4 linked regions of the Astyanax mexicanus genome follow. The protein of the gene in region 4 binds, or shares a complex with, the protein of the main gene of each other region. Links are inferred from orthologs where the notes say so. Each region holds a gene or a part of one and is shown on either strand. Other genes may lie near its edges. The genes, in order: thoc3, thoc7, thoc6 and thoc5.

Region 1 (7,608 bases), on a different chromosome or scaffold from region 4:
AATAAATGGAAGCACTTTACTCACCCAAATAAACAGTTTTCACAAGAGAAATCTGTGTACATTAACATCCAGTGCTAATCGGACTAATCTAAAATGCTAAAATGTGTTGTTTTTTTTTTTTTTTTATATAATCCGCTGCACCCTATGTATAAAAATAGACCAGAAAAAAGATGTTTATTAAAAGTGCGCCTTATAGTGCGAAAAATATGGACAATGTGGACAAACTTACTGCGACAGATGCTGTTTAAGTTCTTTCTGAAACCAAGAGTTTCATTGCACACTATGATAAGCATGTTATCAATAGACGCAACTTGAAGCAGACTACATGTGGTAATATTATTTTAGCTGAAAGGAGAAACAAATTAATATTAATGTCAATTGTTTGCCATAAAGAAACTTACCTTGAGAAACAGCGAACACACACCAACTCGTCAACATCCCACAGACTGACCAGAGCATCTGCACTTCCAGTAGCAAAATACTTGCCAGTGGGATCAAATTTGATGCAGATGCAGTTGGACGGATGAGCATTTATTGACTGAATGAGCTTTAGTTCAGGGTAACTGTAAAAGAAAAATGAATCAATAATATTCATTCCCAACCTGGACATGTATACACAGAAATATAAAAGCAAACTGTTTTAACTCCCACTTAACTATGTTCAATTAAATTAAATTAAGGCGGTGCTGCTGAGTTGTTAGGGTTGAGGGTTATAGTACATCAGGGACAGAAATTAAGTAATTCATGCAAATACCACAAAAGAAACAATGCTTACCTCAAAATGTTGATGCAGCCATTACCATTAGTCAAAAAGAACATATCATTATCGTTGTTCCAGGAAATTTCGTTGACCTCAAACTTGAACTGTTCTTCAGCACGTGGGCGGTGAGTTTTAGCATCAATAAAAGTAACCACATCATCCTTATTCCCCACAGCTATGGTCTGACCATCAGGACTCCAACATATGTTAATGTTCTCTCCTAAAACCATAAAAACATACGTTTTTGCACAACTGAATGTATTTGTGCATTTATGCTAACAGCAAAGTTTCAGGTAGCTGTTTTCAGAGCTTGTAATAGTTTTAATAATAATTTTCATAATGTTGTGGCGAGTATGAAAGCGCTGGAATTCCTTAAAAAGAACATGCATGGGGTTATTTTTGTGTGCATGGTTTTATTACTGGAGGGGTGTCTCAGCACAGTTTAAGTCTTTGGCAAATTATGTGGTAGTATTGTCATATTTAAACAACCTTATTTCACCATGTTAAACATAATTCAGTGCAGTTTGTTGAGTCAGTGAAACACTGTGCAACCAGTGCAACTTTATGTATATATGTATACAGCAGTATTTTAAATACACAACATAATGCATTTACAGAAATACACTAATACATTTAACATACACTGTACATGAGGGTTTTATTATATTCAACTGTATACTGATATTACTTCTGAGCATATGAAGAGATGAGTTTTTTCAGACACCTCACCCAGCCATAATTCACAGTGTTTGGACACACCTTTCTTCCTATTCAATGTTTTTCTTTATATAATTAATTTTCTATATTGCAAATTAATAAAAAGACATGAAATCGATTAAAGGACAATTTACAGAATTATGTAGTAAACAAAAAAAAGGATTTGACCTCCACAATCCACTGATCTAAACCTGATTAACTGAGATGGTGATTTGAGGTGATTTGGGATGAGCTGGAGCCTCACAGTGTGAACGAAAAGCAACAACTATTGTTCAGCACCTCCAGAAACTCATTCAAGATGCTGCGAAAACTATACCAGGTGACTCTCCATCATGAAGACACGAAGATTAAAATACCAAGAGTGTGCAGATCTGTCATCAACTCTAAATGTGCTGCTTAGAAGAATCTAAAGTATAAAACCATATTCTGGTTTGTTTAACACTTTTTGTTTACAAAATATATCACCATGCATTCCTGTACAGCTTTAATATAGTCTTTGACATATTACATTTACAATGTAAAACATCGTAAAGAGAAAGAAAACACACTGAATGAGAAGACATGTGTATAACAAAGCTGGTATAGTTGTGAACCTAAGTCAAAATGTTTGTTTTGAGTCTCACCTTTGGTGCTGACCGTGGCCATGCATTTAGTAGTGCGGACATCCCAGATCCGAATGGTCTTGTCCCCAGAAGCAGTGACAAACAGATCCGGGTTGGTTGGGTGCCAACACAGCTGGTCAACACTGTCTCCATGACCTCTGTAGTTATTCTCCTTCACCTGTGAGGTGGTTAGAAATATACATTTACATATCTGGCCTGTAGCAGATGCTCTTCTTTAGAGAGACTTTTTATAAAAAGTGCTTTAGCTACTCTTCACTGTATCCAAATACAACTGTCAGATATCCAGTAATTGACTATATTTTTTACCTTTAATGGAAAATCTCTATTCTAAATGCTGTGTAGTCCAGAAATAGGGTTAATCTCTGAGGAGGAAACTTTCCAAAAATACAAAAACTAATCCCGTCCGGATAAGGCTTAATACTTAATAAAACACCTACATTTGTAGCTGCAGAATACAGGAAGCCCTATCTGGATGGGCTAAGTTTATCACGGGGACGTCTGTAAAAATATTTCACACTTCTACTCTATCGGGTTAACTATTTATCATTAGTACTAATGATAAATAATAGAGCATCACAGTCACACTGCTGCAGGTAATGAATAAACCGATTAATGAATCTGTATGACTGAATCAGAGACAGTAAAGCTCAGGGAAGCGCTGCAGCTCTATCAGATCTCTGAGTGGACTGAGTGCAGGATCTCACCAGCCGGTCTTTCTCCAGCACAAACACACTCGCTGTTTTATCAAACGAGCCCGAGGCCAGCCGCCTCCCGTCGCAGCTCCAGGCGACGGAGTGGACTTTAGCGCTGTGAGCGGGAAACTCGCGGCTCTTGTTGTTATTCCTGAAATTCTCCTGCATCTCATGAAAGTAGGAGGACGCCATTTTCACCGCTGCTTCCTTTAAACTGGCCCGGTGTTTTTTTACCCGGAACTGAAGACCAGCGCCGCCTGGCGACTCGGAGAAACACACTGAAATACACGCTTTCCCTGTGAAAGACCATAACCGCCACTTCAAATAATATCTCAATTATTTAGAGAGAGTCATTATTTTGACATACTAATTCGTTATTTTTAAGATACTATCTTATTATTTTGAAATACTAGCTCATTATTTTGAGATAATCTCATTATTTGTTTTTATTATTTTGAGATAGTAAGTCGTTATTTTAAGATACTAAGTTGCTATTTTGAGATACTATCTAATTATTTTAAGATAGTAAGTCGTTATTTTGAGATACTAAGTTGCTATTTTGAGATACTATCTCATTATTTTTTATTGTTTTCAGATAGTAAGTCATTATTTTGAGATACTATCTCATTATTTTTTATTGTTTTCAGATAGTTATTATTTTGAGATACTATAGCAAATTTGAGATAGAAAATCGTTATTTTGAGATACTAAGTTGCTTTTTTGAGATACTATCTAATTATTTTGAGATAGTAAGTCGTTATTTTGAGATACTAAGTTGCTTTTTTGAGATACTATCTAATTATTTTGAGATAGTAAGTCGTTATATTAAAATACTAAGTTGCTATTTTGAGATACTATCTAATTATTTTGAGATAGTAAGTCCTTATCTCATTATTTATTATTTTCAAATAGTAAGTCGTTATTTTGAGATACTATAGCTAATTTGAGATAGTAAATCTTTATTTTGAGATACTAAGTTGCTATTTTGAGATACTATCTAATTGTTTTGAGATAGAAAGTCATTATTTTCAGATACTATCTCTTTTTGAGATAGTAAGTCCTTATTATGAAATGCTATCCTAGTATTTTGAGATGCTAAGTCATTGTTTTGAGATGAAAACAAGTTTTTTTCTTTCTCTAATGAGAACCTGCAAATGTATCTTAACACGTCTTACGTTGTTTTTTTCCACCGGACAGTTAAACACAGGGCGATACAGGCATATAATGGATATTATATACCCTGCATTCCAACCCTCTGCCCTGCAGAACTACACTAAACACTGTTAAAGAGAGAGCAGACAAGTGTGATTCCCACCAACAGAGAATACTCATAGGTCTACTGAGTGCAAGAAGAGACCAATCCAAATGGTTTCAAGACACAAGAATTCAGTATTTTTTGGCCTGCTTTTTAATTAATTGTTTTGAGATGTCACAAAAGAGTTGTTGAGACCTCTTTTGAATATGTTTTTGTAATGTCACTAAAGATCAATTGTAATTTTTTTAATTCGTTGTTTTTGTGATGTCACAAAATATTTAATGTTGGCCTGTTTTAAATGGTGGCTTTTATGATGTAAAAGGTTGTGGAAATATCACACTTCAAAACACCTGGGTAGTTCTTCATGTTTATTCAGTCCAGTTTAAAAGGTACGGTGCAGGAGAATAACATGATTTTTAAATTAAAAGGTGCACTCATTTTTTGTAGCTTCAAAACACACACACGCAAACATACACACGTTTTAAGATCACAACAGTCAGATAGCATCCCGAGTGAATCCTTAACTTCTTACAGCCTGGACGGCATGCAGGCGGAGCAGAACCATATGGTGTTGCAGTAAGGCCAGTAAACATCCCACAGTTACTGACTTGGGTCAGTTCATTGCTGGACAAGAACAGTCTCTTAAAATTGTCAAGTTTAATATGAAACAGTTTTAATGTGCCATGTACAGTATATCAGAATTCAGATCTCAGTGGGTGATGTAATAAACCCTAGTAGAGCACAACAGTTCAATTCTTTACAGGCTGATACAGTATCGCTCTGTGAAAGCAGTGACAATCTCCTCTATCTCCTGGCTGTTGCACATCATAAAAAGAATGATCAGATGATATTGCATTGTTTGGAGAGGTTATAAAAACCCCTTACAGCCCACCTACCTCTACCTTAACATTACACAACATTACATGTGAAACCAAGCAAATGTCATACAATCCCCAAGCAGTGAATTCACTGCAGTGCAAAAACTCGGGAAAACAGGTGGAAGACATTGGAGAATAGCATGTCAATCCTTAAGAACGTTCACTTTATTGTCACAATGTAAAGAACCGGTACAATTACAGATAGCTAGGAGGTGAGTTGGTCTAGGAGGAGGTAGATTGTATATATCCTAATCTACAGTATCTCCTACATGCTTATCTATGTCTTTCAGAGCACTTGCATGACTTGTATTTGCATCTAATGAGGAAGGTTCAGAAACTGAACCACAGAGCCTCAGATATAACAGCAGAAGTGCCTTGGTGTGCTGTACTGTTTTCAGTCTGATTCAGGATTGAGTTTTTGCATTGTAAACAATGGTCTTTGATTACATTTTACTTTTTGAACATGGAAATCAAGCTGATGATGAGCTTAGCAGTGTAGTAACGTACAGCCTTTTGTTATTGCGATAGGTAATTAGCTGTTGTTTGTTGTTAGATTTATGGTGTGCATGTGGTATTTTTGGCATGTATGATGCCAAATTGCATCATGTTGACCTAAATTCTACAAGCAAGGTCTTAATGCCTTAACTGAGGTTTTAAGGCCTTAATGCCCTCTAGGCACTTTATAGCTAGATGAGCTGATGACCAACTTGAGGTGTTGTGTTAATTAGGCTAAATACAAAGATGTTTTTCTCTAGATTAGAGAATTGCCTCTCAACTGCAACATCATGTTTTATGTGAATTCTTTCCTTATTAATGTTTAGTGCACATCATGATTAAGATTGATACAGGTTTATTACAGTCAAACTCTTGTGATATCAATTTTAGACCTAATAATCCTCACTACACAAAATCATGGACAAATTTAAAGGTTGTGTTTGAACAACATAAAATTATGGTAAATTACTGTATTCAAGAGTAGGAACTGTCAGGTCCGGACAATCTGGAGCTGCTCTTGCACACGTGACATACTGATGGAGATTTTCTGACTACCGGAAAGTTCTGTGGTTTAGGCAAGGGGTAGCACCTGCATTGCATGTGCAGGAGGCACGAAACGACCTGCTGTGAAAAATCTGGAAAATGACTTGCTTAATTCACATCTGACCTAACTCAGACATTACCTAAGCTTTGTACTAGGCAAAATAAACTTTGGATAATGTCCCATACAAGTTGCCGTGCAGGATTGCTTCTATAAGTCTCTGGCAAATCCTGCTAATGGCTGATGCAAACAGAAAAGGGGTCACTTTGTGTGTTTGAATATTTCCTTTGGAAAGGCTTTGTAGCAATGCATTTCATATGTTGCATTTTCTTGCAAGTGCATGGTACACGTTCTGGCAAAACCCACTTTCCAAAAGATACTTTACAGAGGAGCAAATGATCATTTCCCAACAGGAATAAAGTAGGTTTCCTTTAAGTTCCCAAAATGCAGGATAGATCTATATAAAGGGTGTTCATTAGTGGATACAAACCCACACAATCAGACAGTTTGTGCTCTGAATACCTAAAACTGAACCTGTGCATAATTTGGAATAATAAATAGAAATTAAAAAACAAGATTTCTGTGCAAATGCTGCAGCTGTCCTGCTAGTGCTTGCCTTCCGTTAACACTCAGCGTCCACGCTGCCATTTGCATCGTTAGGGCCATCTGCTGAGGAGCTGAGAGAGGCCTGCAGGTCCTCATTGTGTGTGGGGTGGCTGATCCCATTGGGTTGCTCACTCTTCTCTTCCTCTTCATTCTTCTGCACCCTGTGACACACCAAGAGACATTATGTAAATACATTAGAAGACATACAGTGTAATCTGTCCTTTATTTGTATTATTTCTAAATTGTAGATTAATATTAAATACTTAAAATACTTACAATGAAGGAACACATATGTAATTAAATTAGTAGACAAAAAGTGTTTGACCTTTACAAACACCTGACAAACCCAGGTGGTTTGGGATGAGTTGGAGTGCAGAGTGAAGGAAAAGCAGATAAAACAAGAGCTGAGCACATATAGAACTCCTTTAAGAGAGAACCATTCCAGGTTCTATCTCATAAAGCCAACTGAGATAATAATGTCAAGAGTAAGCAAAGTTGGCATCAAAACAAAAGGAATTTAAAGTGTAAAACATGACATCTTTTTGTTTATTAAATAATTTTGTATGTCTTCCTTCGTAGTTTTGATGTCTTTAATAAGAATCTACAATGCAGATAATAATAAGAATAAAGTGTTCTGAAAAAAATCAGACATACAAATACCAATTAAATAAAGAAAAAAATATTATTTTCCACTATGTAATGACAACTGCAGAAGTAGCTTTACCGGTTGCAGGGGCTTTTGTTGTTGACCAGTTCTGCAGGTCTTTTCTCAGAAAGGGATCTCTGGACGGAAGCTCTCGGTTTGGTTCCGCTTGGCTCTGTGCCGAAGTCTGAGCTCCTGCGGGCTGTGGGTGGTTCTTTGCCGGAGTCTGTGCTGCTTCTGGAGCCAGTGTCGCTGGTGGAGAGAGAGCTACTCCCTGGCCCGTCCGTGTCTTTACCTGAGTCAGAACTGTGTCGACCATTTAGGCTATCGTTCGAGGAAACCTTGCTGATCTGACCATCCATCTCATCTGCGGAGAAAAGTGAGAGAACTGCATGTGA
Region 2 (6,921 bases), on a different chromosome or scaffold from region 4:
CTATTTGATGTCCTCATTGATAGTCAAATAACATTCAATTGCAACTGAAAAGTAAAAGTACATGATTCTCTAATGAATGTAACCCTACATTTAACTCTAACCCAAAAACTAATCTTAACATTTTAGGATTGGGTTTAGGGTAGATTTTAAGGGCGTTTAATGGTTAAGGTTAGGGTAAGGTGTAGGGTTGGATTTTAGGGTTGATTAATGGTTAAGGTTAGGTGTAGGGTTAGATTTTATTTTAAATCATTTACATTCACATAGGTTTATGTTGCATGTAATAGACATTCAGTTGATTGTCAGTTGAACATCAACAAGGCCATAATAAAATGGACCGTCCAAGTAAAGTGTTACCGAATAAACTTGCATTGCCTTGTATCACAATATATTGGCACACTCTTAACTGACACTGGTAGTCCACAACAAGTCAACAACTTGGGTTAGCTTAGCTTAGACACATGGTTTCACTTCCAAATCTGCCTCCCACAAAGTCATCTTACAGAAGTAGCTTAGCTAAACTAAATACAGCCCTGGAAAAAATGAAGAGCCACTTAAAAATGGTTTTACCAAAAACATGTTTTTTCTTTGGTTTTACCAAATTGAAGACATCTGGAATATAATCAAGAGGAAGACGGATGATTACAGGCATAAACATAAAGTTATCCAAAAGCAGTGTGTGAGACTGGTGGAGGAGAACATGCCAAGATGCATGAAAACTGTTTAAAAACTTTTGACAACTGTGACAAAATGTTTGAACTCTTAAAACTTTATGAATATGAACTTGTTTTCTGTGCATTATTTGAGTTCTGAAAGCTTATTTGCATATTTTTTTGTTATTTTAGCCATTTCTCATTTATGCAAATAAATGCTCTAAATGACAATATTTTTATTTGGAATTTGGGAGAAATGTTTTCTGTAGTTTATAGAAAAAACAACAATGTAAATTTTACTCAAACATAAACCTATAAATAAAAAAATCAGAAAAACTGATTCAGAAACTGAAGTGGTCTCTTATGTTTTTTTCCAGAGCTGTATGTTAGTTTTCTCCCTCCTGTCAGGAGAGCCCCATTTATCTACAGAGCTGCAGCTCGGAGGTTTTAATAGACAGAAGGCTGCTGGTGGTGTTGCTCCAGCTGAACAAGTGCACTGAGAGAGTGAAAGCAATGAAAGCAGGCAGAAAACAGCAGCACAAATATAACTAAAGCTAACTAACTATAAACAACTGCGAGCGGGCTCAGGACTTTCTGACAACCAGGGCTCTGGCTCGGGCTCAGGCTCGGGGGTCCGTCACCCAGCTAACAGCGCTGATTAAAGTTGGAGAAGAATTACGTCACCAAAATAAAATGTTAGTGACATTCAGAGAGCAGCAGGAGGAGGAGGAGGAGGAGGAAGAGAGGAGGGAGGGGGGGTTGTAGCATGTTAGCTCCGCTGCTGTTTCTACTGCTGGTGCTAACAGCTGCAGCCATTTGGAGCTAGGTTAACTACTAGCAGAAAAAGCCCGGACAGCCATTAGCAGCTAGCAGCGCTATCCGCTCTCCGCGTCCCCTTACCTTACCGTCCTTGCGCCCCCCGCGGGAGCGCGCCTGCCGCCCACACCGAGCGTCTGCCTGCGCGCGACCCTGCGCCGGCTGGACACGCTCGCGGGGCCCGGGGAGCGGAGTGAAGCGGGGGAGCGGCCGCGGTCTGCGCTCAGTGGCTGTGGAGGAGGAGGTCTCCACCAGGTGCGTCCATGTCTGTTTACCACGCAGCATTCTGGGACGAGCGCGTCACCGTAGCGGCCTGCGAGCGCATGCGCGGACAGGCGCGCGCTCACCAACCGCCCCTCTTCGCTTCGTCTACCCTCCCTCCCCTGTTGCTGCGCAACCCTACTACTGTCAGAGTATTAAATAATAATAATAATAATAATAATAATAATAATAATAATAATAATAATAATAATAATAAACAAATTGGTTAATATAATCCATCGCTATTAAACTGAACTGTTAACTACCTGATTTTTTTTTTACATTTTTGGTTTAGTTTGATATGAGAAGTCATTACTTTGAGATGACCAATGGATTACTGACTAAAAACACAATACAAAACAATAATACGACTGAATAATTATGTAGTATTAACAGCCTATAGTCTTAATTATTAAGAAGTAAACTTTATATTATAGTAAACATTCCATCACTTATCAGTAGGGGACGAGCCCTGAATGGTGGAGATTTTGGAGGTGGTTCAGTGAAGGTATCCTAGTCTTGAGAAGCTGCTAAAATTCACATTTTATTCACATTAATGTACAAAAATGTTACGTTATACGTGCCTGCAGGGGTGTTTTTTTAGATGCTCATTATTTTGAGATAATGTTTCCTTATTTTGCGAGGCCATGTAATCATTTTGACATAATTTATTTATATTCTGAGTTTATTTTTTATTATTTTAAAATACTTCTTAGAGCTTTTGAGATGCTAAGACTAATTCTTTTGAGATGATAAGGCATTGTTTCGTTTTTTTAAATTATTTGTTATAAATATAAGATGATAAATCACTTTTAAAGTTTGCTAAACTTTCTAATTATTAAGAAAATAAAGTCATTGATATATTCTCTCATTGTTTTGGAGATCCTTTGTTGTTATTTTGAGACTGCACATGTTTTTGCACTCACGCATTTCTATTACAGTCGTCCTTAATGGAACCTAAAGGTTTTTTTTTCTTTTCCTTTTATTTAATCGCTTAAAGAACATAGTGTAGTGAAAATATGCTTTTTTTAACGGTGAATAGGAAACCTGAACATAATATTTTTGAATTAAATATTTTATATTTATATTTTAAAAGAACAATATTATGTATATGTTGTATTTAACCTAACACATAGATATTTAATAGCTGGGGGTCTGAGGTGAATGAATGGAAGGGGGCGCTCTGCTTGTGTTGGTAAAGTTATGGTGAGACCAGAGCTGGTTTATGGCGAGCCTGCCCACTTCATATCAGAACATTAATATGAACCGCTAGAGGGCGCCCGCGAGTGAGTCCTCAAGGAATGGGGTGAATGGAGCTAAACGGCTAAAAAAATAACTAAAATAGTAAATAACTACGTGTTCAGGACATTTCTTTAATTTCAGAAAAGTAAAATAATGTATTTCCCCAGAAAAGAAAGAAAATATACTATTAAGTTTTCAGTTTTTAGATCTGATGCAGGATCAAACGTTTTATATAGTTTTATAAGTTATAAGTTACTTAAAAACTAAACTAAACTAAAAACTAAAAAATAGAAATGTGTATTTATTACTGAAACATTTGATATTCTTCTGTGTTCAGGGAAATTTCATTATTATATTTAAATAAAAATCAAACATTTCTATACTATGATTTTGCTTACTTGCTCCATATGAACCCATTCATTTTGGACTCACTTGGAAGCGATCTTTGGTGGTTTGGTTTGGTTTGATTTAGTTTACTTTACTTTAGTTTTAGTTTTTTGATTTTGCAAAACGTATACACACATAAAAAAAAAATAGTAGACTATTTTAACATAAAAACAGTGATCATTTATTTAATATACAGTAGTATTAGTCAATATAAATATTATATGTGGCAATTAAAAAAAAACTACTAATTATACTAATGCATTAACAGTTAATAAATAAATAAAGACATTTGTTAAGAGAAAAAAAGTATTATTTAAAATATATTTATTTATTATTTATATCCATTATATTAAATATGTGGAGCTGGTGGGCGTCCCTCATGTTTTAAATTTTCATTTTCATGGTGGTAACCCTATTTATATATTATATTTGCAATATTAAGGTAATATTGAATAAATCACAGAATTTTAAATAACGTAATTTAATAAATAATATGTTGATTGGTTGGTAGGGGTTCATTAAGTGGTCCGTCTCCCTGATACAGGGTCTGTGGTGAACGTCAGTCTCTAAGCTACAGTACAGGAGGTTGGACAAATGGGGAGCATAACTGACGGTGAGATTCTGATTATTTATGTTGGATTAATGCTTTATTTTTAGCGATTTTTATGGATATTTCACGGGAATTGAAGAGAATATGAGTGTTTACAGACTATAGAGGTCATACAGGTTACGGAAACAGATTAAAAAAAGCTGTAAATAAACTAATAGCGAGCCGGTTAACTGTTTAGCTAACTAGCTTAGCTTAGCTTAGCTCTCTGAGGTAAATTAGGAGCTAATAAGCTAATGTACAGTTTACATACGGGTTTAAACACTGGTATATAAAATGAGGCTTTCTCACAACGACGGAAACATTTAATTAAAAATTGATAACTATATTAATATAGCTTAGTTAATTCATTCATTAACGTTACTTAGGCTGCAGCAGAACTACAACAGATCTCACTGTGTGGCTCTTATAAAAAGAATAAAATAGAAATTCTCTGATATTATTGCATTAAACTGCATGAATATGAGCTACAGTAACAGCTATGGATAACAGCTAGGTCGCTATTAGGATTCTAAATGATATGCACTGTGATGAGTACTGTGTAATATTTATATAAAAGGAAATTATATCATATCAAAACCGTTCAATAGTTTTTTTAAGTCTACCTGGCCCACCTCATATATTTAAATGGTAGTATCTATTAATATAAATAAACGTTAATTTAGGTCTGCATTTTCCCCCTTTTATAACAACAATAATAATAACAGTAATGGCGATAAAATTATTTATGTAACAGAAAATTATATTATATGAAGACTATCCAATATATATTTTTAAAATCTACCTGGCCTACTTAATAGTTAAATGGTAGTATTTATTAATATAAATAAATGTTAATTTAGGTCTGCATTTCCCCCTTTTATAACAACAACAATAATAATAATAATAATAATAATAATAACAGTAATGGCGATACAATTATTTATGTAAGAGAAAATTATATTATATCAAAACCATCCAAGATTTTTTTTTTAATCTACCAGGCCTACTTAATAGTTAATTGGTAGTATTAATTAATATAAATATGTATTTTTCGGCATTGGCAGATACTGTATATACCTTTGTAATATTGGCATCTGCATATGAATGAAACTTTTGTAAACTTTTGTATACAACTGTGTCTTTTATCAGATGAGGTCATCCGGAAGCGCCTCCTCATTGATGGAGATGGTGCTGGAGATGACCGGCGTATAAATGTGCTGCTGAAGAGCTTCATCAAATGGTGTCACTCAAATGTGACGCCAGAAGAAGGGTAATTTCGTTCAACAGATCCTTTATATAATTTGATTTACTCTGCTGATTATTCAAAAAATATCCCTAGCTAATTTTGTTGCCAGTATGGATATCAAAATGCACAATGCTCTGAGACTTTTCAGTCATGAGTGCAGCCTTCAGTCCAATGTTCTTCAATACTGGGATTAAGGACCCTCCTCTCCAGCATATTTCAGAGGATTGCCTGCGTTAATACACACATTGCAACTCTGAAAGGGCAAATTAAGGACCTGGTTAGATTAATCAGGTGTGAAGGGAGAAGGGAAAACCATACATTTGCAGGGCAGAAGTGCGACGTGACTAGGATTAAAAACCCTGCTGTAATAAGTGTAAAAATTGTGCTCATCTTGCAAGAAATTGGTCTTTAGTGTTTGTTTGAAGACGGCAGGTGACTCTACCATTCATACATTTGAACCCAGCACCCATTTGATTCATTCAAAGCTCATTCTCACTTCTGAACACAGTCATAAAGTTGCGATAGATAAGTTTGAATAAGATCTGAGGTCTGCATGAAGGTAGCTTGCTAAAAACAGGGTGAGGAGCATTGTTGAAGATCGAAGATCTACACCAGGGCCTCTTCTGCTCACATTTGCTGAATTTCTGTCCTCTTTCCTGCAGGTTTACACAGTATCAGAGGATGCTGGGAACCTTGACGCAGTGCGAGTTCTCCATGGGAAAGACGCTGCTGGTGTACGATATGAACCTGAGAGAAATGGAGAACTATGAAAAGATTTACTCTGACATTGGTGAGGATTTTATTGATTCAGAATCAGAGGTTTAAAGTATTACATTTTACATATTGTTTGATGTAACCATGAAACATGTCTTTTCCACATCACAGGGCAGAGCATATCATCAGCACATGAGAAGATAGCAGAGTGCAAGAAAGAAATCCAGAGGGCTAAGAGGATACGAAAGAACCGTCAAGGTTTGGTTATTTTATCAGTTTAACTTGAGTAAAATTTCCCTGAATGAATAAGAAGGATAAATAAGCCTCCTTTGTTTTTAGAGTATGACATACACTTCCAATCAAAAGCAGCAATTATGTTTGTCCTAGATAAGCTGCTTTTTTATTTTCTCATCTTAGCAGTGACTTTATTATTGCATTTTATCTGTCAGACCTGTAATTCCTCTCTTGACTGCTAAAACTGAGACTTGGTCTACTGTTAAGATGAGCTAAAAGCTAAAGCTGTTGCCATGTGGGTCAGCCAGAACTCTTCCTGTACCAGTCTTCTGATAGTGTAGGAAACAGTACTCACCGCTCTCTGGCTTCATCTGTTATTTCTTTAATTTAAAGAAATTTAAATTTCTTTTCTTTAAAGAAAAGACTTCTACTTTTAATAGTAACAGAGTTGTCTGAGGTCTTTCAGATGTATTCTTCTAGTTATAATAATAAAAGTGTGAATGTGCTGTGTAAATGCTACAGTAAAGATTGCAGTAACACAATCTGCAAAATTTTGTAAAAATCGGGATTTTGTGCCATTTCTGGTTATTTACTGGACCTGAAGAGCTTAAATGGCATAAAATAAAGAAGAAACAATTGGGGTGTTCTAAATTTTACGGCAGTGTGTTCCCTGATCAGTATGTCTATGTAATTAGTCATTAAAGTTATTTATAAATAATACAGTAGTGAAATATTTTAGAAAACATGTTATATTAATGCTTTGAATGTTTTATTGTCTTCTT
Region 3 (7,014 bases), on a different chromosome or scaffold from region 4:
ATGAGTTAAAGTAAAGGACAATAAGGAGCTTTTCACATCGTTTAAAGCAGGGGTGTCCAAGCTTGTTTTTTGGGGCCAGAAGGAGAAATATATGTACAGTCACGGCCATAGACTCTGTAATAATAATAGTATGAAATATATATAATAATATATATATAATAATAATATATAATAATAATAGTATGAAATATACTTCTTATAATAATACATTTTATTGATTATCATTTACACATCATTTTACTTGAGTTACTATCATTAATAGTGTTGTGTAAACTAAGATTTTTCAAATTGGTGTTTCATTTCATAATGTCTCTTAATATTATAATCCTTCATTACATACCTGTCAAGTCTCCCGTTTTGGCCGGGAAACTACCGTATTTTACTCCTCTTTCCCGCCGTCCTCCCGTATTAGTATTTTCCCGTAAATTTCCCGTATTATATTAAAAAAAAAAACTTTACTATTGAGGCGACAGGGCACTGGTCACTGTGTGTCTCTTAACCAATGGTAGTGCCGGTTCAAGGAGAAAGTCCCGCCTTTCAGGTGAAACAGCCAATCAGGTTCCTGGTTTCGCAGAGCGCAATGTAGGAAAGCCCCGCCCCCCTCGCTGTGAGAGCTAGTCGGAGCAGCTGACGTTAAAGCATATCTGGATATATAGCGAGGTAACGGAGCTAAACATGTAAACTATGATGACGTTGTTTCTGAAACAGTCGGATCAAACCGACTGTGTGCTTAAGAAAATACAGCTTGTGACTCAGTTAGCTTAACTTTACAATTAGATGTTCAACCTGCCCTGATCAGCCAATAACTATTTCATTTTCAAACTGTGTTTATTAATTTAGGTTTGCAGGCCTACTGTAAGCTATAATGAACGAAACTGTATTTATTTTATTAGTTCAGGGCTAGTTTAAGAGTATTGTGGTGTAATTTATTATTTAGAAGGGGCAGAAGAGATGGTTGATCTGGAGAGAGAGAAAATGTGAAGAGGGCTGAAATTAACTGACTGACAGGACTGGACTGATCAATAGAAAGAAGTATTAATTAAATTATTAATTGTTTAGGCCCCTTTGGACTAATATTTACTTATGCAATATATCTGGTCCATGTCATTTTTGTAAAAGCTGATGATTTCATGTAAATGTCTAGAAAAGGGTTTAACTTAGGCTGTATTATAAGAATTACATATGTAGGAATGTCCACAACATTTCAGTGTCAACAAAGATAGACCTGTCAGATTCTGATAATCTAATTGTAGTTTGTAAAATGTTCCCAGGTGGTTATTTTAGATTTATTGTAAACCTGTCTTAAAATATAAGGGATTCTGAACCTCGGTTGGGTTGGTGGGCGACTCGAAGCAGGTGACGGAAAATTTCCCTTATTTTTAAGTCCAAAACTTGACAGGTATGTTATTATGGCAACTTTTTCCTGACATATGCACACTTCCCTTTGAACGTTTCTGCATTTGCAGTCAATTTTCCGTCTTTTTTTTTGAGTTGCCATGTTTTACTAAAAGCTCAGGAACGTTAATGTAGGCAGGGTTGCCAGATCCAAGAAAAATATCCAGCCCAAAGTCAGTCTAAAACTTGCTCTTCAGAAGCTTAAACTAGCCCAAAATATGTCTATTACTTAGTACTACGACGTAGTATTTTGTTTATAAGGAATTTATAAACAAATTATTTATCTTAAAGTCAGTACTAATATTGTAACAGTATTTTATTAGTTTTTTTATAACAGTTTTATATTCCAGTCAAGAACATTTAATAGCAACATAATTAGCAAAAAAAAAAACTTACTTTTACTTACTCATTTCTGTACTTGCCCCTCCGTAACTCTCTTTTCTCCTCTTTTAACATTTTTTATCTTCTTGTGATTTAAACTGTGATTTTCTTTGTTTGTTTCTTGTGACTTTTTTGCCACGGTAATTTTTAAAAGTCGCCCCTAAATTTTCACCCGCAACTGGATTTTCAAACAAGCCCAATTTTGCGGAAAAACCGCCAACCTGGCAACTCTGAATGTAGGCATAATGAAGGAAGGAAAGGAGATGAGGAGCGTTTTAGATTAGGTTTATGTGATAGCGACACCTAGCGCCTAAACTTTAAATCTCACATTATTAACACTTGCTTAGTTACGGGCCAACTTTCAAAGAAACACACACACACACACACATACACACACTGCCACAGTCCTACAACTTTAAGCTCCCGACCCTCAAACACATTCAAGGTGGAAGCTCGCATGTCCATGTTTTCATTTTCTTTGAAAACCAAAATATGTTTACCCTCAATAAACATCCCTTATTTACAACAGTGAATTAAGTCTGTTCTAAAACTTTTCACACAGTCTGAAAGTAAAAAAAAATGATATAAATACAAAATTGTAAATGAATAAATTAATAATATTAAAGTTAAATACGAAAAACAGAGTATTGAAAGTAAGTACAACTTTTCTGTCTTCAGTTTCTTCAAGAGATGTATATGCATATACAAGGTCTGCACAAAAAAAACGAATCTGTGGCTTTAACTGATGAACTTCTCTAAAAGTACCAACAACTTACAACTTACAACTTACCCAGCGGTCAACAATTAGTTAAACAAAACATAGAAGAAAAAACAATGGACTCGTTAATAATCATTAACAAGCTTGTTAAAAGCTGAGAAATAATAAGTGGCATGAATCAAAATCACATTTAACAAATACATATTCTAAATGTTATCTTGCTCCACCAAACAGAGCAAGGGCAGTGTGTAGAAACATTAATGTATAAAAATGTGTAAAAATACATTGCATGAAATTTGTACTGGATCAGTTGTTCATGTTTTCTGGAACAGATGGATATAACCTGTTAAGGATTTTGAGAGTCTCATGCCATGTGCTGTTAAAATAGCAAGTTTACGAATATATCTATGCTGATGGGTGTGGTGTTTTGAAGGTGAGGTGTGGTCAGGTAAATTTCTGCCAGGCTGATATTTTGGTAATGGAAAAAACAGCTGCGCCAACAAACTGATTAGAAACTAAACAGCTCAGTGCACATACCCAACTTTTTGTGTGGAAGAACAAAATCAATACTGTTCACCTATTGTTTTTTTTAATCAGTTGCATGACTTTATTTATTAGAAAACAGAAAAAGGTGGAGGGTTCTCTGTTGTAATTTGTGTATATTATGTACTTGTAAATCAAACAAAATAGTAAACAAATATTTGAAACAAAAAACATTGGATGGATGTAAAATGTTGTGTTTTGTCTTTATGAAGAACGAAGTATAAATACATTTTAATGGGATGTCACAGTCCTTCAAACAAAAGCTGACCTGGGAAGTGTACTAACCTTATATATAAAAAATAATTGTTTTATTTCTAATGTGGGAGTTAATATATTAAATTTACAGCTAAATTTACCAAATTGAAAACCTCTGGAATATAATCAAGAGAAAGACGGATGACCACAAGCCATCAAAACAAACTGAACTGCTTGATTTTTTTGCACCAGAAGGGGCATAACGTTATCCAAAAGCAGTGTGTAAGACTGGTGGAGGAGAACATGCCAAGATGCATGAAAGGGTTATTCCACCAAATATTGATTTCTGCACTCTTAAAACTTGTTTTCTTTGCATTATTTGAGGTCTGAAGGCTCTGCATCTTTTTTGTTATTTCAGCCATTTCTCAGTTTCTTCAAATAAATGCTCTAAAAGACAATATTTTTATTTGGAATTTTGGAGAAATGTTGTCTGTATTTTATAGAATAAAAAAACAGTGTTCGTTTTACTTTAACTATTATTAAACTATTTATTTATAGCTATAAATAGCAAAATCAGAGAAGCTGATTATATACAAGAGCTGAGAGCTGTATATATATACACATATACTGCCCATTACCACAGTATCTACCATCTACCTCCATATCTCAGAGACCCTCTTAACGAGTGGAGTAAATTACTATATTGATTTCTCAGTAATTCATTCAGGTTATCAGAACATAAGCCCCGCCCCTTTTCTCTGTAACGTCACTTTCCAGCGACAGTGTTTAAACTGAAGCGGCTGAAGAGCTGCAGTGGTTTTACAGCTCAGTTTCAGCACAGCGGCGATTCCTCCTCTCAGTATGGGTCCTGTAGAGGTAAACACCACACACCGCCTCTCCTACAGCTCATATAAACATATAAACACTACAGCCCGCCTGTAAGAGCCCGGTGTAGGACCGCACAGCGCCCGCTGTTAGCACTGCTGACTCTCTAGTGGGCAAGATAGCCTTGCTAACGCTAACTAACCTAGCTAACCTAATAGATACCTTCTCTATTTACTAACTCAGCTAAACTGGGGTGATTTAAATTTACCACTTTTCTAAAAGGTGGTCTGGTCTTATTTGTGTTGCTGTTGTTTATTTATGAGTATTTGCTTGCTTCATTAATGGAGAAATATCAACCAACTAGTTAGCTAGCTAACAGTTAACTGGGTTATCTAGCTCACTATACAGCTCTGGAAAAAATTAAGAGACCACTTCAGTTTCTGAATCAGTTTCTTTTATTTTTCCATTTATAGGCATATGTTTGAGTAAAATGAACATTGTTGTTTTGTTCTATAAACTACGGACAACGTTTCTCCCAAATTCCAAGTAAAAATGTTTTCATTTAGAGCATTTATTTGCAGAAAATGAGAAATGGCTGAAAAAAAATGCAGAGGTTTCAGACCTCAAATAATGCAAAGAAATCAAGTTCACATTCATAAAGTTTTAAGAGTACAGAAATCAATATTTGGTGAAGTAACCCTGGTTTTTAATCACAGTTTTCATGCACTACTTTTGGATAACTTTATGCCACTCCTGGTGCAAAAATTCAAGCAGTTAAGCTTGAATTAATGGCTTATGATCATCCATCTTCCTCTTGATTATATTCTAGAGGTTTAAAAAAAAAGGATATGTTTAGTTGGTTGTTGCTAGCTAGTTACTGTAGTTTTTGAGCAAGCACTGACAATGGCTGCATCCCAAATTTATTTTTATTCTAGCAGTGGTGCACAGTTGACTGAAGGAGCTTCACTATGAAAAATAAACGAGTTTTGTAGCTTGTTAGGTACAGGTGCATGTAAATTGAATATCATTGAAAAGTTCTGAAATTTATGCTTTTTTTGTTTTAATTTATTTCTTTTATTGTTGATGATTATGATTTACAGCCAATGACAACCCAAAAGTCAATATCTCAGAAAATTAAAATATTATATAAGACCAATTGGTACTTTTGGCAGTGTGCCAAGTCCTGCTGGAAAATGAAATCCCCATATCTCCACATCTCCATAAAAGTTGCCAGCAAAGGGAAGCATGAAGTGCTGTAAAATTCTGTGGGAAAACACTGCACTGACTTTAGACTTGATAGAACACAGTTGATCAACACCAGCAGATGACCTGTCTCTCCAAACCATCACTGATTGTAGAAACTTCACACTAGACCTCAAGCAGCTTGGACTGTGTCTCTCCACTCTTCTTCCAGACTCTGGTCCCTTGATTTCTAAATGAAATGCAAAATTTACTGATGGTCACTGATTGTTTGGAGAACTAGGTCATCTGCTGGTGTTTTACAGCACTTTATTCCCTCTGCTGTTAACATTTATGGTGATGCAGATTTCATTTTCCAGCAGGACTTGGCACACTGCCCACACTGCCAAAATACTGGGTGGTCTTATATCATATTCTAATTTTCTGAGACACTGATTTTTGGGTTTAATTAGCTTTAAGCCATAACCATCAACAGTAAAAGAGACATATCTAAACCTTTTAGGCCACACAATCATTCCCTTTCTTTCTACCTGTTGGTGGCCATTGAACACTAAAAACTCTTTAGAAGATCATCTTGCTTGATGTATTTAGCTATTATCTGTTGAGTCACAATTTATCGTATATTAGATATAGAAAAAAAAGAAGTTAGCAGTGTTGGAAGAAAAACTTCAATGTCTTAGTCTTTTCACTTTCCCAAGTTAACACACATTGTAATAACCACACTGTTCTCCCTCCACAGCTTCTCCACATGTCCGTGTTCTCCCAGAGTTTTTCTCCCTGCGGACGCTTTCTTGCAGCTGGTAATAACTATGGAGAGATCGCCATATTTAGGTGAGCTAATAAGCACTGAATAAGATGTGTTGGTTCCATACTATAACAGGTTACATGCTCATTAGAGTATTTCAGAATTGGTTAAAAGTGATTAATTTAGGGAGAGAGGTATAATGCCCTGAATTGAACTGAAGTTCAGCAGCAAAGTAGCTGAAATTATCCAGGAGAGTTGCCTACAGAGCACCACTAGTTACCTATTAGAAGTGCTACTGTTTGAAGAGTCGTTCCATTTTTTAGGGTAGGGGAGGATTTTTACCACTTGGATAAAAAGAAAACAAGTGGTATTGGTACAAAAGAGAAATTAGACTGGGCCTTTGTATTCAACAGTTAGGTCAATGCTAAATAAAGATAACAAAAATGGTCAAGAAAGGCAGAACTAGTGCTATAATATATATTAGATTATACCACACCTAGTTCTGACCCTGCAAAGTTATTGGCTGAGAGACATTTTGTGAGTGTCAGTATTGCATGATAATGGCACTCTGACCAAAGCTGTAGGATTACTGGGCCACATACACACATGAGCTAAGATTCAGTCACAAAACAGTTAAACATGTTAGACTTCTTAAAAGTTGACTTAATGTGTGTAAAGTGATTTTTTGCAACAAATTCCAGTCTTTAGCTGCAGCAGATTAAAATGATGATGATAAAATAAACACTTTATTTGCTTTTGGGGAAATAATAAATGAAGAATGTTTGGAACTGTTGCATGTTGGAACCTTTAGTATCAGTATCAGAAAATAAAATACATTGTGCACTCTTAAATCAGCCAAAATATGAAATCTTTTTATTTAATTCATATTAATTTTTAATGATTGTTTGATATTGTATTGTATCATTTTTCCCCATGCAGTCTCTCAGCAGCACTGAGTCCAGATGCCACAGATCTGAGCCAGAAGCCCATTCTAACTTTTACAGGTATTGCT
Region 4 (7,297 bases):
TGTAACATAAACATTAACCATCTAAAATACAATTCTACTTACAAATGTGCTGGGTGCACAATAACATACTGAGATCTGTTTGAGTTTTAAAGACCAAAACTTGAGTGCTCAATCCTGGTCGTGTATGTTTTAACCACATTTCACAAGCACAGATCATCCTACCATCCCTAAACTTAAGTCGAGTTGATTGATATCTGACTACATTAAGCAAAAATAACAGTGAAAGGACCACCTGCTTATTTGAATATTAACTTTTCTTTGGAAAGTTCCTTGGTAGCTTTCAATGTTTGCATATGTTTAAATTATACATTCTAATGCAAGAGCACCTTTTTACTCGCTTTGGTAGACTGCCTGTGGTAAGTATTTACAGTTAATTGATAATTTACGTAAATTATGATTAATTTATGATAATTTTATGAATGAGATTTTTTGGGAACAAGCTGCTCAAGTTTGTACAAAAACATACAGTAGTATGTTTTTAAAAGGACAATAACTTACTTAAACTCAAGGCATTTGCCAATTTCTTTCTGAAGATGCATGACCTCATACAAAAGATTCTGAAGCTGCAGATGCAGCACATCCACTTTCTGCTTCGCCTGAAGAAACAGAAGAAAAGCAGTGGGTGGGTGAGAGACTATGTGCAAATAAACTAGAAAAGGAAGAGACGAAAAAGGGTGTTTCTTGTGAGTACCTCATGCGTCTGATCACGTCCTTTCTTCAGTCTCATGTGTGCCAAACGATTCAGCTTCTTCAGGGTAATGAAATGAACACAACCTTGTCTGAGCTTCTCCTCCACCTCCTCACTCTGTATATACAAACATGGGCATTTTAGTTATGCTGTTTAGCATCAACACTCCTTTCATCTTAGCCTGGGTTTATTTTTTTTTTTAAAAAAGAAAGAAACTTACTCCTTCTTTTGCACCATTGGCTTTAAGTTCTTGTATTTCAGCCATTAGTTTTGCCAAGGAGTCACAGGTACTTTTATAAAGGACGTAATCCTGTTCCGGGTCTCTGCCTTCCAATTCCACCTCCTCGTTATACACACGCACCTCCTAATGAAAACAAGCACTCAGGAATACATAGAGGTAGCAAATATTCACCTTTACTAGCTCTTTATACCAAAAACAGGCAATGTCTGAACAAACCTCTCTCTCTTACCTACTCTATCACAAATTTAGCATTTTATACCCTGCTCTCACCCAAGTGTGTACATACAAAGAGGTGGGTGCACCAGAAATAGGCTATGTAAGTCTTTTTTTAAAGAATAGAAATTAGAGCAGAGAGACTTTTGCTGGACCTTGTTCTTCACTGACAACAGCTTCTTCTGGTCCACATTGGAGACTCCAGCTGGAAATCTTCCCTACCAATACATTTCACATGAGTGTGGCATCAAAGAATCTCCAACATTTACTATTCACTCTAAATACAACCTAAAGTCTACAGCTTTAAGGGTGTTAAATATAAGCATGTAACACCCTTGTACACCCTCTGGACACTTGGATGTCAAAATGCTAAATGGATAGAGCAAAACTGAATCCTACTGAAGTCTTACTCCTACAAAAAATATATAACAGCTATGTACATGGAATCAGTTTCTGAGAAAACAGAACAGTCTCTCCAAAATTGTCATAATTAAGAGAAGGAAGATACCACTGACCTGATCCCCTTCACCTCGACCTCGTTTAGTTTCAGGAGTCCCGCCATCACTCCGGATTACTTTTGCCTTGCGCTTTTTCAGAGTGTCAGAAGACATGGCTAGAAAAAAATTGCCAAATTAAATCAAAGAACTCAGGGATATGTTCACTAGTGAAAGTAAGAGCATTTCCACACACACAATGTGAAGTAAACTCACATAATTGGAACTAAATGTTTTGACATTACATAAGCTTGTGGAAACAATGCCACTGTAATCAAATTTATAGGTGAAAAATCTGTGTGACCTTTTTTAGGACAAGCAGTGTATTTTGTCAACTGGCACATTAAGTACATTTTAAAAATACATAGAAGTGACAGATAATGTTTAGCGCCAGATGCTGCACATCTTAACACACTATTTTGAAATTAGATGGCATGTTGATATTTAAATCATGGGAGATAAAAACTGAGTCAGGCTACTAGACACTGCATGTACACAATCAATATATTTTTGTATTGTTTTTGGCTCAAAGGCATTGGTTTAAAATCATTTACATGCACTAAGTGACTGTTCGATTTTGACAAGTTAATTTTTACATGAAAAACAACAACCTAGTTACAAAAATGCATGTAGTGCAGGGATATCAGTGCAAAAATGAGCTTTCACATTTAGTTATTTAACACTCTAATAGGTCATACTGAAACTAAAATTCTATGTGTTTTGTCATCACCAAAAGAATCACTATCGCAAAAATACCATGAAATTTCGTGGTTATTTTAGGGCCATATCACCCACCTCTATTACCAAATCCTTAACCTAACTAACTTTGTACCTAGCTAGATAGATCAAGAGATAACCTAACTAGCAGCATGGACCTTCGGAATAAGAAATGCTAATGTTAGCCTGCTAATGCAATGTTAGCTTGCTAATATTTGGAACTGGGTCTCTAAGCACAGTGTTTTGCTATTAATCAGAACGCATTTGGATGGATAAACCCGCCCCAGTGAGATGTTTGGAAATATCTGTGTAACTTTTTAAATAAATAATGTAAGAGATAAAATTTTGAGAGGAAAGACTGGAGCTCACAGGATCCACCGACTAACTAACTAATACAGCGCAAATACCGCCACGGCCCCTCACATTTAGTATAAACGGAGATTTATTTACATAAACTTAAATAACAGACATCAAAAATACTTAGCTTCAATAATCACACTTTAATCAGGCGTGAGATATTTTAGACTATATAAAACAATTACCTCAGCAGCGCGGACAGAGGGGAACGATGTGTGAATTCAGAGACTACGGTGAATCTGTATCTGAACCCTGGTTAAAATAAAAGTCTCTTTTAAAAAGGAGCTGAATTGGTGGTATACTTCGTCTGTTAAGTACTTTTGTTTGCCTCAGTAAATCTATAATTTTAACCTTTACCCTTAAAAACAGAGAATAATAATAATAATAATAATAATAATAATAATAATAATAATAATAATAATAATAATAATAATAATAAAATACTAGATATACAGCTCTGAGACCACTTCAGTTTCTGAATTAGTTTGCTATTTATAGGTATATGTTTGAATAAAAAATAATAATAAATTCCAAATAAAAATATTGTCATTTAGAGCATTTATTTGCAGAAAATGCAGAAATTAAAAAAAAAACTGCAGAGCTGTTCTTTATGGCTGCTGGTATTTACTATTAAATAATGTAGTTGTTGCCCAGAAGTGTTCTTTATTCAACGGTCAACTTAACGTCCCACATTGAAAAATATAACTTTTCGTGAAAAGCATTTCAATGTGTAAACTCGTGTTTTGTTTCCACATGCACTTAAAACACGCCGTTCTTAACGTATCAAAAAGTAAGTCTAATCTATGAAAAGACGTTGCAAATCATTAAATTCGCTTATTTACTATGTCTGTTGCAACGTCACTCTAATCCCAGCAGGACTTTTATTTTGAAACATGAACTAAAGTCCCTCTTCGCTCCCACCTGAGGAAGTCAAGTGTGTACTTACTATTGTTGTACTTAAAGAGTTAACATTGCTTTTAACGTCTAATCGGTAGTATCTGTGCAGTGTTGACTCTAAAACAATATAACGTATTGTTCACTCTGCTCAGGTTCATTGCCCAGTATTCCTCTGGGATAGCTAACTTAAGCAAATGAAAGGTACGGTTTTTTTTAGCTCAAAGGTCTGATTAGATCATTGATTAATATTCTAATCAGTTAAAGTCAGCTTACATACCTGCCAATACTCTTACTTGTATGTGTTTCAGGTGGTGCTTGTGTTGAGGGTTTTTGTAACACACCATGGCTCAGTGGCAGCCTGTAACAAATCTGAGGTTTAAACTTGTCCATCATCCGCCTGTTGTTGTTTTTTTTCTCTGCCTGCTGATCCTGGCTGGAGCCTTTATTGGAATTGGGATATACTCGAAACAACATGACATTAAGAACCCAGACATCAGCTTGGTAACTATGTTTGTATATGTTTATCAGAGTACTGAGGCTAGAAGGCTAGACCCTAAAGGAACTGGTTTGTCACACAATGTAATATTTACTATTCATAGTTTTATACAGCTTAATAATAATGCTGGTGCAACAACATTGATATGATATAAGTCTGTCTAAAGATCCTTGGTGATCAATCATCCATTACTTTGGATAACAAACATGTATTACCACATGTTTCTAGTCATCTATTCCCTGCAATGCACTTCTGTAAATCAGAATTTTATCTAATTTTACTAAATGTTTCTATAGGCCTAAAAGAGTCCTCTATATTTGTTTTAGGACTGGAATCAAATACTGGGATCAATTGCAAGCCTGAGGTACTGCACAGATGTAAACAATACAGACCTGTTGGGTGGGAAACAAGAGGATGAATCCCCTCTGCTATTAGATCATGGAGTTGGAACCTTCTCAAATGCTTCCCAAGACACTAGAGGAGTTGTTCATGTGTCCCTACTTGTACCTCTGGTGTGCACTGAAAATGATCCAAGTCACAACAGCATTAGTGCTACATTATTGGGAAGCCAGTTAGGCCTAAAGGGTGTGTATGTGCTCCTGTATTTGGTCTATAAAAATGAATGCTATTCATTGGATTGATTTTTCAAAAACTGTCCAGCGTTCATTTATTGAACCTTTTCTCTCCCCAGGTGTTGCTGGAAAGGAGTTATTTAACATATCTTTGTTCTTGCACCTCCAATCTCAAATATCAAGCACAGTCTCTAACTCTGCCTTTGATCCAAAATTGCCTACTGAGGCTGAAACGAAGCCTTCCATGTCCTGCTTGAAAATTTCAGCTCCAGCTCACCTTCTCCCGCTGAGATCGTAAGCAACTACCAAATAGAAGTTCATAAATGTGTGTTTTTTTTTTAGATTATATACCTGTATGCTGAATTGAGTATATTTTCAGGGAACCTCCAGAATGCCCTGCAAACTACAACCCAGAGAAGGATATTTCTCCTGTCAGAGTCTTTGCTACAGAATCATACAGGCAGGATTCTGATAATGCATCTCCATGCCTCATCTTAAAGTTTACACCTGACCCCAAACTGACTGTGCTACTTACTCAGGTAAAAAACATATGATCAAATATCATAACAAATTTGAATATTATGGTCATATTCTTTTTTCTACTGTCCATCTTGTCTGCTTACTGATTATAAGAAGATTTATAGTTTTTAAATTACAGAATGTAGTCCTTTCGATTTCTCATGCTTTGTCCTCTTCTATTTACCCTATTCGTCAATAGCCAGGACTTCACAGGCCTATCATAGAGCAGGCATTTGGGTTGTTAGGTTATTCTCAACACTACTGACACAGTGATTGTGTTAATGTCTTGAACAGACACAGCAGTGCTGCTGGAGTTCTTAAACACTGTTTACTCCATTAGACAGCTACCTAGCTAGCTAGATCTACCTCGTAGATGGTAAGTCGTAGAGGTGGTCCTAACATTCTTATATAAAAAGTGCATATTACCCAGTTACTATAGCATGTGGACGCGCACACCCCAGAAACGGGTAATAGTCAACTTTAAATTTCAGTCCATCGGTTTAAAAAATAAACTTACTAAAAGATTCTTCCTTGTCAGACAAGCACTTTTATGCATCTTTTTAGACACAATCACAAACCACTACCACCACCTGTACAAAACTTTTGCTGATGTGAGGAGAATTTTATGTTTCTGGTTTCCTGCAACTTACTTTGTAGTAAATTTACTTTTGTTCTGATCCCTGACACTCACTCCACAATAAGCTATTTTTGGGAAGATTCTGAGACTAATGTATAGTTTTCCATCTTGTTACAAGTGTTTTTTTAATGTACATGTGCATGAAGGAAATCTTTTTTTGTTTTTTACTGTTATTGTACAGTGAGTTGATAAACCTTACTTTACTTTTAACATAATGCAGACTGTTTTGTGAGTCTGTGTGGTAGTGTGAGTGGGAAAAGGACACTGAAAAACATTTTTTGTTCTGGTTTTGGCTTTTTGCATATGTACCTTGTATTCAGATTTATTTGATAGTTTAGACCGCAAAAAAGAAGGCGGCAAAAAGAAATACAGTTTGGAACATTTGGATTTAATGTGGATTTTTCAGACAACTTCTAAAGACTGTGGATGTTCTAACTGCCCAAACCATTTTAAAATGTCTTTTGCATCACTCGCAACGCAACAGTAACCACATCAAATCCAGAGTAACAAAAGTCTGGAGATCCAACAGCATGGCCAGGTTACTGTCGGCCATGTTGTTACTAAAGCAACCTATGCAGATAGGTTTGTGACGCCTAAACATGCAAATTCCGTATGATCACTTGCAATTATCAGTGTTGGACAGACATTTTCAGAACTCCCTCATACCAGCAGTATGAACATAGGCTTTTCGGGTAAATAGCTAGTAAGCATTAATGCCCCACTATCTAAATAGCTAGACTGAAATGCATGCATTAATCCTAATGTGACAGTTCTACATGTGCAACAATAAGCATGAAAAAATTTTGTGCACTCACACGTCAATTTATTAGCATAATCTGTTCAGACAAATGTCAACATAGTTGCCACTTTACCTGCTTTCAGAATGTAGAACCTGATCATCAAGGAATCCTAGGAATCTGCTAGATTGTCTTTCCCATCAACCCATGTTTTTGGGTTCACACATGGGATAATCATGTTTTGTTTTACATACCTTGCCCTTTACACCAACATCGTATATCATAGTATTTTTCTCTTTGATCCAGTCTTTAATTGTCCACTATCTTGTAGCAGTTCCTTGATCAGTGCGCAGCTGGAAATGGTGTCTTTTCATACAATGTACTAACCTTTCTGCTGCATCTCCCTTCCTAGGAAGAGAAAGCACTAGCTAGATATCATCTGATGCTGGTGAGCGTTGTGCTGTTGGCTGTCTGCAGCATGATGTGCCTTACTGGAACTCTTACCTGCTCCAGGCCTCGGCGTCACCTTGCCAACGATCTTCATTTCCAAAAGGTGAGGAACCAAACACTTTATTTGATGTTCATGGATGAACTTAATTTGGTTCTTTACACAATGTGCTCAAAAATCCATAAATTTTTGTAAATAAATTGCTTGTCATGTACAGACACCTTTACTGAAATGTGCAATTTCATATTACAGGTGACTGCTGGGGTCCTGAGCATGTGACA

What was found.
Region 1: thoc5 (region 4) and thoc3 share a complex: the UniProt entries of both Homo sapiens proteins name them as parts of the transcription/export (TREX) complex. The link is inferred for Astyanax mexicanus from reciprocal best matches to the Homo sapiens genes THOC5 and THOC3.
Region 2: the proteins of thoc5 (region 4) and thoc7 are in contact, whole or in part, in a cryo-EM structure (PDB 7APK), measured with the Homo sapiens proteins. The link is inferred for Astyanax mexicanus from reciprocal best matches to the Homo sapiens genes THOC5 and THOC7. Residues at the interface, in NP_001002877.1 of Homo sapiens: Pro48, Asp51, Tyr52, Tyr55, Cys59, Leu62, Gln63, Met66, Ala67, Gln70, Phe95, Lys99, Leu101, Asn102, Ala105, His106, Arg108, Leu109, Gly112, Arg113, Gln115, Thr116, Ala119, Lys120, Val123, Tyr126, His127, Leu130, Leu133, Glu136; in NP_079351.2 of Homo sapiens: Ala21, Asp23, Ile27, Leu30, Val31, Phe34, Tyr50, Met53, Leu54, Leu57, Cys60, Glu61, Met64, Gly65, Thr67, Leu68, Val70, Tyr71, Asn74, Met78, Tyr81, Ile84, Tyr85, Ile88, Glu89, Ser91, Ile92, Ala95, His96, Lys98.
Region 3: the proteins of thoc5 (region 4) and thoc6 are in contact, whole or in part, in a cryo-EM structure (PDB 7APK), measured with the Homo sapiens proteins. The link is inferred for Astyanax mexicanus from reciprocal best matches to the Homo sapiens genes THOC5 and THOC6. Residues at the interface, in NP_001002877.1 of Homo sapiens: Pro406, Gly407, Asp538, Ile539, Val540, Asp541, Ala542, Gly543, Leu544, Ser575, Ile576, Ser593, Asp596, Arg599, Glu602, Gly603, Asn606, Val607, Tyr609, Arg660, Phe662, Arg663, Gly664, Pro665, Ser666, Arg667; in NP_001334633.1 of Homo sapiens: Val5, Pro6, Ala8, Val9, Pro10, Leu11, Gly12, Gln13, Val16, Phe17, Leu20, Gln21, Leu23, His24, Met25, Thr26, Phe28, Tyr45, Tyr80, Asp94, Glu125, Val126, Pro127, Glu128, Asn130, Gly146, Tyr170, His172, Glu188, Trp222.

What each region holds. Positions count from the first base shown.
Region 1 is NC_064417.1:38,820,575-38,828,182, reverse strand, and holds the start of thoc3 (THO complex subunit 3), read right to left. Parts: upstream 3,022-7,608; 5' UTR 2,985-3,021; coding exon 2,805-2,984; intron 2,258-2,804; coding exon 2,101-2,257; intron 981-2,100; coding exon 776-980; intron 564-775; coding exon 402-563; intron 1-401. Other genes in the region: shtn3 (shootin-1), read right to left, coding at 6,584-6,728, 7,292-7,577. UniProt on the Homo sapiens protein: Component of the THO subcomplex of the TREX complex which is thought to couple mRNA transcription, processing and nuclear export, and which specifically associates with spliced mRNA and not with unspliced pre-mRNA.
Region 2 is NC_064431.1:26,148,879-26,155,799, reverse strand, and holds the start of thoc7 (THO complex subunit 7 homolog), read left to right. Parts: upstream 1-3,900; 5' UTR 3,901-3,950; coding exon 3,951-3,969; intron 3,970-5,094; coding exon 5,095-5,215; intron 5,216-5,853; coding exon 5,854-5,981; intron 5,982-6,076; coding exon 6,077-6,163; intron 6,164-6,921. UniProt on the Homo sapiens protein: Component of the THO subcomplex of the TREX complex which is thought to couple mRNA transcription, processing and nuclear export, and which specifically associates with spliced mRNA and not with unspliced pre-mRNA.
Region 3 is NC_064426.1:19,838,821-19,845,834, reverse strand, and holds the start of thoc6 (THO complex subunit 6 homolog), read left to right. Parts: upstream 1-3,997; 5' UTR 3,998-4,093; coding exon 4,094-4,108; intron 4,109-5,996; coding exon 5,997-6,088; intron 6,089-6,941; coding exon 6,942-7,006; intron 7,007-7,014. UniProt on the Homo sapiens protein: Component of the THO subcomplex of the TREX complex which is thought to couple mRNA transcription, processing and nuclear export, and which specifically associates with spliced mRNA and not with unspliced pre-mRNA.
Region 4 is NC_064409.1:52,841,184-52,848,480, forward strand, and holds the start of thoc5 (THO complex subunit 5 homolog), read right to left. Parts: upstream 3,001-7,297; 5' UTR 2,896-3,000; intron 1,756-2,895; 5' UTR 1,754-1,755; coding exon 1,658-1,753; intron 1,361-1,657; coding exon 1,298-1,360; intron 1,053-1,297; coding exon 909-1,052; intron 806-908; coding exon 692-805; intron 597-691; coding exon 499-596; intron 1-498. Other genes in the region: zgc:158398 (transmembrane protein 248), read left to right, coding at 3,950-4,108, 4,430-4,688, 4,795-4,969, 5,055-5,214, 6,981-7,121, 7,269-7,295. UniProt on the Homo sapiens protein: Component of the THO subcomplex of the TREX complex which is thought to couple mRNA transcription, processing and nuclear export, and which specifically associates with spliced mRNA and not with unspliced pre-mRNA.